2 linked regions of the Canis lupus familiaris genome follow. The protein of the gene in region 1 purifies or fractionates together with the protein of each later gene. This does not show direct contact. Links are inferred from orthologs where the notes say so. Each region holds a gene or a part of one and is shown in the gene's direction. Other genes may lie near its edges. The genes, in order: NF2 and AMOTL1.

Evidence for each region.
Region 2: the proteins of NF2 (region 1) and AMOTL1 purify together in Homo sapiens (affinity purification with mass spectrometry; 6 studies listed by BioGRID and IntAct, counting the BioPlex papers as one, with this or other methods). This does not show direct contact. The link is inferred for Canis lupus familiaris from reciprocal best matches to the Homo sapiens genes NF2 and AMOTL1.

Annotation. Positions count from the first base shown.
Region 1 is NC_049247.1:23,221,804-23,226,055, forward strand, and holds the start of NF2 (merlin), read left to right. Parts: upstream 1-1,373; 5' UTR 1,374-1,743; coding exon 1,744-1,857; intron 1,858-4,252. UniProt on the Homo sapiens protein: Probable regulator of the Hippo/SWH (Sav/Wts/Hpo) signaling pathway, a signaling pathway that plays a pivotal role in tumor suppression by restricting proliferation and promoting apoptosis.
Region 2 is NC_049242.1:6,356,324-6,360,869, reverse strand, and holds the start of AMOTL1 (angiomotin-like protein 1), read left to right. Parts: upstream 1-1,513; 5' UTR 1,514-1,666; intron 1,667-2,114; 5' UTR 2,115-2,206; intron 2,207-4,546. UniProt on the Homo sapiens protein: Inhibits the Wnt/beta-catenin signaling pathway, probably by recruiting CTNNB1 to recycling endosomes and hence preventing its translocation to the nucleus.

The DNA of each region.
Region 1 (4,252 bases):
GGAAACTGTCTCTTCTCAACCATTAAGAGTTATTTTTTTAAAAAAGATTTTCTTTATGTATTCACGAGACACACACGCACACACACAGAGGGGGGAGACCTATGCAGAGGGAGAAGCAGGCTCCCTGAGGGGATCCTGATGGAGGACTCAATTCCAGGACCCCAGGATCACAGCCTGAACCAAAGGCAGACGCTCAACCACTGAGCCACCCAGGTGTCCCTTATTAAGAGTTACTTAAAAGTAGGATTTATATTTTTAATACAGAAAGCTATATACACCCCCACCTCACAACACACCCACTATAACTTGATGACATTTAAAAAATAAATAAAACACAGCTATGGTTTGAAAGTGGAAATCAGAATACAAAATGAGAAACGCTTTCATTTTTTGGACTGTTCTGTGTGTATGTATAAAAACAGCAATTAAAAAAAAATTTTTTTATTGGAGTTCAATTTGCCAACATTTAGCATAACACCCAGTGCTCATCCCGCCAAGTGCCCTCCTCGGGGCCCGTCACCCAGTCACCCCAACCCCCCTCCCACCTCCCCTTCCACTACCCCTTGTTCAGTTCCCAGAGTTAGGAGTCTCTCATGAAAAACAGCAATTTCATAGGATTCCACCTAGTATATGCCAGCAGCCACCGTTCTAAAGCTTTCTATGTATTAACGTCCTTAAATTCCTCAACAACCCCACGGGGTAGGTACAATCATCACCCTTCCTTGGTAATAACACACTTTCTCCCGGGGAGAAGCAGAACGATCTGGGGGAGTGCCAGCAAGCTAAGCAGCTTCCACGTGACTTGAAAAGTTTAGAGAAACACAGAGGTCAGCATATGCCATTAAGGGCCGAGGAGGGCTTTCCGCCGGGTGTCCGACACGCGCCCTCTGGGGTACCACACTGCACGCGTACTCAGTCCGAAGGGCAGGCGCCCGCTGACCCACCCGCAGCCGCGTGCCAGCCTCTAGGTGGTTGCCCGTGGAAGGCGCGCCGGGCTCCGCTGCCTCAACCAATCTTGCTAGAGTAGGCGTACTCCCTGCGAACAAAAGCGTTCGGAGTGACTGCCACTCTGGCCACTCAACGCCGAGCCCAGGCCCGCGCCTCCAATCACGGCGGAACTTCCGATTGGTGGAGTCCCTCTGAAGTAGGGTGGACTGGCAGGAAAAGTCCCGCCTCCCTGGGGTTCTCAGCCAATCGCGGTGTCCGGGCGGCAGCCGCCGGGTTCGGTTGCGCTGCGTGTAATGATCTGGGGACCTGAGGGCGGGGCGGGGAGCAGGCCGGGGTCTGTGGGGAGGGGACGCTTCCCGCGGGCGCGCGGAGCGAGGACGGTGACAGCCACGCGCGCACGTGCGCGCCCGGCCGCAGCGCGGCCCCGAGACCTCCGTCGGCCGCTTCGAGGCGCGCGGGGGCTGGGCCGCTGCCGTCTAGGGGCCCAGTCCCGGGGCGTCCCCAGCGTCCCCGGCCCGAGACCCTGAGCGCCGGGCAGAGCCCATCCGCTTGGTCTTGGCTCGTGTTCCGTCCCCGTGGCCGTAAGGGTCCGCCCCCCAACTCCTCTTTACGCTCCCGGGGCAGGGTCCTCACGGCCCATGCTGGCCGCTGGGGGCCCGCGCGGACCAGCCAGCTCCCAGGCGGGCCAGTCGGCTACCATGGTGGCCCTGAGGCCTGTGCGGCTCCTCCAGGGGGGCTAACAGGTCCAGAGCGCAGGCCTCGGGGCGCGAGGGTCCCGGGCCTGAGCCCCGCGCCATGGCCGGGGCCATCGCTTCCCGTATGAGCTTCAGCTCGCTCAAGAGGAAGCAGCCCAAGACGTTCACCGTGCGGATCGTCACCATGGACGCCGAGATGGAGTTCAATTGCGAGGTAACCGACTGGCAACCCCGACGGGCTGTGGCAAGCGGGCGCCGGGCGGAATCCGGCGGGATCCCCGCTCGCCCGGCCCCGCTGTGGGTCGGGCACCAGCTGGGGCGCCCCTGCCGCGGTGACAGTCAAGGTGGAAGCTTGAGGGATCCAGCTCGTATCATCTCTGAGCATAGACGGAGCCAGCCAGAACCAGAAGGAGCCATCTAGGCCCAAATCCTCATGTTAAAGATAATTGCTGCTTTTTTTTTTTTTCTTTTTCTTTTTTTTCTTAGGGCTTTTGGGTTTGGAAGCACTTCATTCAGGTTTTCATTCATTGTTACTGGAAGCGTCCGTGGAAGGCCAAATTCTGGTTTTCAGTGTCAGGCTTAAGTTCCAGCTCTATGGTTTTTTTTTTGTTTGTTTGTTTGTTTGTTTGTTTTACTTCATTAGATATTTTTATGTGCCCCAGGTATTAAAAGTTGCGTCTTGTGTTTTGGAAAATCTATACTTACTTCCTTTTTTCCAAAAGCTTCCATTTTCTGGAAGTGAACTATTTCAGATGAGAGTTGATGTCTAATATTTTTCATGCAGTTTACACCATGATGATACCAGTTATCATTTGTTGAATGTGTTGTAAGAGTCAGACATTAATACATTTAATTCTCACAACAACCCAATGAGGTAGGCACCCCAAACTATGTATCTAGTTTGTGGCAAAGTGGGATTTTAAGTCCAGCTTTTAGCCAAAATAGTACTGCTTCTCATGTAATTTAAGTCCTTGCTAGTCCAAAGTGTAGTCTGTGAAACCAGCAGCACTGACAGAAGTGACCTAAGTCAGGGGTTGACAAACTTTTTCTGTAAAGGGCCACGTAGTAAATATTTTCAGCTTTGCAGGCCATAGGATCTCTGTTACAACTACTTAGTCCTTCAGCTCTACTATTATAGCACAAAAACAGCCTGATGATTCACTTCTAGTATGACAGTGTGAGTAGCTTCATTGACCTCCCTTGGAGGACTAGGAAAAATTACTTCAAAAAACTCAACTATTTAAACCTTCTGGAAATGGTCCTAAGGGCAAACATTCATCAAATGAATAAAGGGCTATTTGAGAAAATCTATGAAAATTTGCTAAGGCGAGAGTCTATGGTATTTGAACCAAGGCTACTACCTCCCTCCCCACTTCCAATTCAGCAGAGTAGAGATTCCACTCCAGACTGCTGTAACCCAGAACACAGGGCTCCCTCTTCCCTAGCTCCCTGTCAGACCACTTTTTTCCCAGGAGGAACAGGATTTCAGTGTTTCTTATTCTGCATAAGCTTACTTGTTGCTGAGACTAAGTACCAGATGTGTATAGTTGAAAGATGGGGCTTACTTCTTCTATCCAGCTCCTATTCACAGAATGGGAGCTGTGCCTTGTGCATGGCATGCTGAGACTACTGGGGCCCCGGTTACTCCTGGCCCAGGCCCAGCTTGTGCAATGGTGGTTCCATGCCAGAGAAGGCAAACTGAGAAAACTTCAGGCTTGTGTGTTCCCCCAATCCTTCCTCTTCCGCCAAGGACTCAGAGATTTTACCTGGAGGGAGAAGGCGGCTTTAAAACCTGTAGTTCCTGCTCTCTTCCCAAAGGCAGTTACTTCATTTGCAACAAAATGTGGAGAAGTGTATCCCTAAAGGAACTCTTAAAACAGTGGAGGATTTGATGAAGGGCAATTGGGAGGAGATTATGGATTTTTTAAAAAAATTTTATTTATATATGATAGTCATCACAGAGAGAGAGAGGCAGAGACATAGGCAGAGGGAGAAGCAGGCTCCATGCAGGGAGCCTGACGTGGAATTCGATCCTGGGTCTCCAGGATCGTGCCCTGAGCCAAAGGCAGGCGCTAAACCGCTGCGCCACCCAGGGATCCCGGAGGTTATGGATTTAATGAAGATCCAGCCTAGAAGGTAGGCCAGCTAGTTTGCAGTAGAGAATCAGAGAACTAAAACAGCTGGGAAGAGCCCTTCATGGGATTGAAAAACTTTACCCCCCAAAGAGCCACCCTTGATTGGATTACTTTGTAGAGCAAGTTATGCTCCAGGGCATGGATGAAAATAATAGAAGACTAAAACACAATTAATGGAGTTTAACAGCTGGGTGTGATTAGGGGGATGAGAAAGAGCCCTATTAAAACCACTGACACCCAAGGATGACTGTGGCCATAACTGAATTTGTGCCTCTCTGAAGAAAACATCATAGGCCTTAACACTATGTGAAGGAGATAGATTTCACTAAAACATTCCAGCTCATCACTAAATGAACAAACCAATAACAAGCCCTGGGGCTGGGATGGGGAGAACCAGTACAGTATCTATATTATTTAGATAATGTATTACCTAAAATGTCCAGTTTCCAGCAAAAATTATGAGGCCTGCAAAGA
Region 2 (4,546 bases), on another chromosome or scaffold:
GGAGCTGCTACTCTCCTCTGCTGGTGTGGAAGTAATTCTTCAGCTTTTCCTCTGACTACTTTTACAGCAGTCGCCTCTTCCAGGGAGCCTGCCCTGATGTGCAAATGGACCACCCTGCTCTGAGTTCTCATAGCTTCCTTTTTCATACTCATCTCACAGCAAAGATCGATTGGCAATTTTCTTCGCTATCTCAGTAATTCTGTCAATGGCCCCTCTACTCCTGCCTGACTTTTGCTGTGACAAAGGCTGGCCCCTGCTGCGTCAAATCCTCTCCACCCTCAGCCACAAGCGCTCATCCTTCTCTTTTCTCCACTGCCCACTGGGCTGGGCAGCAGTGAATTCTGCTGCAAGAAACCTTGGAAAAGAACAACACCCACACACACATGCATATTCTAGAAAGAGAGAAGAAAATAGGCCAGGAGCTCACTCCAGGCTCTTGCTCCAAAAGAAGAGTAGTTTCTTTCTCCTTAGCAAAATGTTCTCGCAGAGGCACAAAGCAGAAGGAGCCTGGCAATTCCATTTTAAATAAACTCGTGCTCCTAAATTATCATATTTCAGATTGGAATCCCATCCTCCCCACCTCGGCCCCTGGCCCCATTGCTCTTTATTCTTCGTGAAGCCTCAGTGGGGAAATGTGAAAGCCACTGATTAAAAGAAGCCTGTGATGGGCCTGCCACCAGCCGATTCTGATGAGACACATCCAATTAAAACAGACAACATTTTCAAAGACCCCAGGCGGGCATTTCATCTCCTCAGCACTTCCTCCAACATGTCAGCATCACCTGAGGCAGTTCTTCCTTTTTTTTTCCTCCCCCAGTATGAAATTTAGGTCAGTAACTGCATAATCCACACAAACAACCCTGGCTGCCTCTCCTCCCTCCTCCTCCTCCCTCTGGAGTTGTCTGTTTGGAAATACATAATTGGGCCCAAATGCTTCCTCCAGCTGACTCCAGTGTTTGGGGTGAGGACCGGGCCGGGGGGTCGAGGGGGCTGGGGACTGCTGCCTCTGCTGCATGCAGGACGTGCAGTGAGCAAAGACTGGAAGGTTGGTCGTGTGATTCAGTAGTGAGATCAAGCCATGCTGCCCACCCAGGGGGCCTGCTGGGCCATCTTGCAGTGATGGTGACGTCAGATTCTGTGCCCTCCCCTGAAAATCAATAATGTGGCCTCAGCAGGGCCACCAGTTCTCAGGGTCCAGCCTTTCACCCATAAAAGGAGATGAGCCAGCCGGATGTCTACACCCATCGTTGTTGCTCTGGTACTAATGTACATAGGCTTCCACAGAGCCTTTTGGAGGCAGGCGCTCTGTTAGGGGGTGCGGGGCCAAGTGTGCATCTGTGTCCACTTGTTTCTCTGGATGCCTTTGTGAGAATGTCCAGATCCCAGGGAGATGGGGAGATGGGTGTCTGCAAAGAGAATCCCCACTCAGCCAAACAAGGCCAGGGAACTGGCTTCCTTCCCGTGCTCTAGCTGGGACAAGCATTGTGCTTGCCACAGAGGCAGAACTATTTTCTCAAACAGGAAAACAGATTCTGTGCTTGGAAAAGTGGGAGACAGAGTAGGCTGGCCGCAGCACGCTGGGCGGAAGAGGATGTAGGAGGTGTTTCCTCACCCTCCTGTCTCTGGCTGGCCTGTGTGGTATGAGAAGACTTCTGGCATTGGCCAGGTAAGCTCGGGAAAACTATCCCCCTACATTTTTCCACAGGAGAAAACAGGGAGACAGGCATAGAAACAGCCACCTTGGTTTTGTCTGACAGACTGTACTGCAGCCCTTAAATGGTTCCTAGGGAACTTTGGGTTGAGCTGTGGTCATTCTGCCTCTGTGGGATCATACTCCACTACAGGGACATATGCTTGGAAGGGACCTTAGGTGTTATCTCGTCCAGCGTGTCCAATCTGCAGATGAGAAAATAGGCCCAGACAGGGCAGGTGACCTGCCATGTTCACACAGAGAGCTACTGGTGGAACTGATGGACCAGAGACTCCTGACCTCCAGGCTGAACAAATTTCCATCAACTTATGGCCTTCCTCCCATCCTAGTTTCCTTCTTTTCTGTTTGAAAATTAATTCAACACAATCCAGCAGGCATTTACGGAACACCTGCCTTGTTGCAGGCACTGCGTTGGGCACCAGAGATAAAGAAGTGAAGTGAGCCACCTGATGATGTTCACTGTGTACTAAGAGAGAAATTTCTGCAGGGAAGGAGGTAGGGATCAGCATCCTATTACCTTACCGGAGCTCCAGGTGCACCTATATCTTACTCAATAGTGTCACTGGCTACATTGAATTATAAGTGATGTTTTAATACTCAATACTGAGGTCTTGAAGGACAAAGACTAGCTGACTAATTTTGTATCCCCAGTGCCCAGGAGAGTGTCTAATACATGGTGACTGCTTAGTAGATACTTTTTTTTAAAAAAAGTAAATATGGGGCACCTAGGTGGCTCAGTAAGTTAGTTTAAGTTTTTTTAAATAAGTAAATATGGGGCACCTAGGTGGCTCCGTAAGTTAGGCATCAGGCTCTTGATTTCAGCTCAGGTCATGATCTCAGGATAGCGAGATTGAGCCCCACATTGGGCTCTGCGCTAGGCAGATTCTCTATCTCTCTCCCTCTTCCCCTCTCCATTCATTTGTGCTTTCTCTCTCTAATAAAGTAAAATAAAATAAAATAAAATAAAATAAAATAAAATAAATAGATGAGTATTTACTGTTTCACTTAAACATACTAATCTGACAAGTTATTCTTGTCAGTTTTGTCATGTATAAAATAAGGATAAGTACTTTATTTTCCAACTCTGGCAGACAGCTTGTATAGTTTTACCCCCTTATCCACTGTTTCACTTTCCATGGTATCAGTTATCCCTAGTCAACCATGGTCCAGAAGCAGATAATCCTCCTCTGACTATTGTCAGGTCAATAGTAGCCTAACAGTAGGTCACAGTTGCATATGTCATTCATCTCACTTCATCTCCTCATGTAGGCATGTTCTCATTTCACATCATCACAGAAGAAAGGTGAGTATAGTAAAATAAGATATGTTGAGAAGGACCACATTCACATAACTGTTACTACAGTATATTGTTATAATTATTCTATTTTATTATCAGTTGTCAATCTCTTGCGCCTAATTTATAGATTAAATTTTATCATAGTTATGTATGTATAGGAAAAAACATAGTATATATAGGATGCATCCCTATCTGTGGTTTTAGCCATCCTCTAGGGTCTTAGGACACATCCCCTGTAGATAAGAAGGGACTGACTACTATATTGGAATAACCTTTTTGTTAAGAACAACCACAAAAGCAGAACTATAAAACCAGACATACATATATTGAAGGTGTAATACGTATGTCTATTTAAGAGTACATATGTGTATAGATACATAAATATGTAAATATATACTTTAGAATTATATATGATATATCTAACATATTTTATAAACATAAAATTATATATAATTATGTATTACAATATATTATATACTTTCAAAGTATTTATAATTACTTATAATGTGTGTGTATATATACACTTTGATAGGAACAAAGAAGTGAGGACTTTAATGATCAAAGTCCCAAAAAGAAGGAAAAAGAGAAGTTGGTCTGACATTGGAAGTGAATTTTTCCCTCCAGATATTTGCCGGTTTCTGAGTAGCAGTTAAGAGGCCGAGAATCTGAACAGGAAATGGTGCATGGGAGCTGAGCAACTGAGCAGAGCTGCAGTAATCACTTTGATTTGGAAAGTTAAAAGTTGGAATTATGAGCCCATCAGGGTGGAAGGACCCTGAAAAACACACTGAAAAGCAACACACGAGGAGTGAAGATGAACCTGAAATGCCAGTCATCATACACTGAGGCACATTTCAAATCAGCTTGATCTCAAATTGATTAACCTGATCTGCTTCTCCCCTAAATACCCAATAGTGTGATTAATGGATCCTAGGGTAGTTCTATTTTCAACTTTTTGAAAACCTCTGAAAAAGGTTTTCCATAGTGTCCCCACCAGTGCAAGAAGTTCTCACTTTTATCCACATCCTACCAACATCTGCTGTTTCCTTGTATTGCCCAATTGCCTTCAGAAGCAAGTCCTCTCCGGAGAAAAAGAATATCATCTAGAACCTTGAAATATCTCTACCATTCTTGGTCCACACACAATTACTAGCATTCATTCTGAAGTCATCAGACAGACCAAGAAAAAATAACATAAAGGTCAAAACCAAGAGAAAAATTGACCAGAGAAAGAAACCAATAGGAAGCCCAGCTATTGCAGTTATGAGTTTGTACATATTTAATGTTCAGAATAATATCTGGTGCATAGTAAGTTTAATATACATACTTGTTAAAAATATAAGAAATGTTTTGGAATTATGAGGGTTCTGTTGGGGGGAAATATCAGTCATTCATTTATTAGACACTTATTAGGTCAGGTAAGCATTGTGCTAGGTCCTGTGAATACAGATTCTGACCTCAAAATGCCCACAGTTAGGTGAAGATAGAAATTTCTCAGTAGTGAAGGCTCTTATAAGGTTGTTCTAATGAAAAAAGGG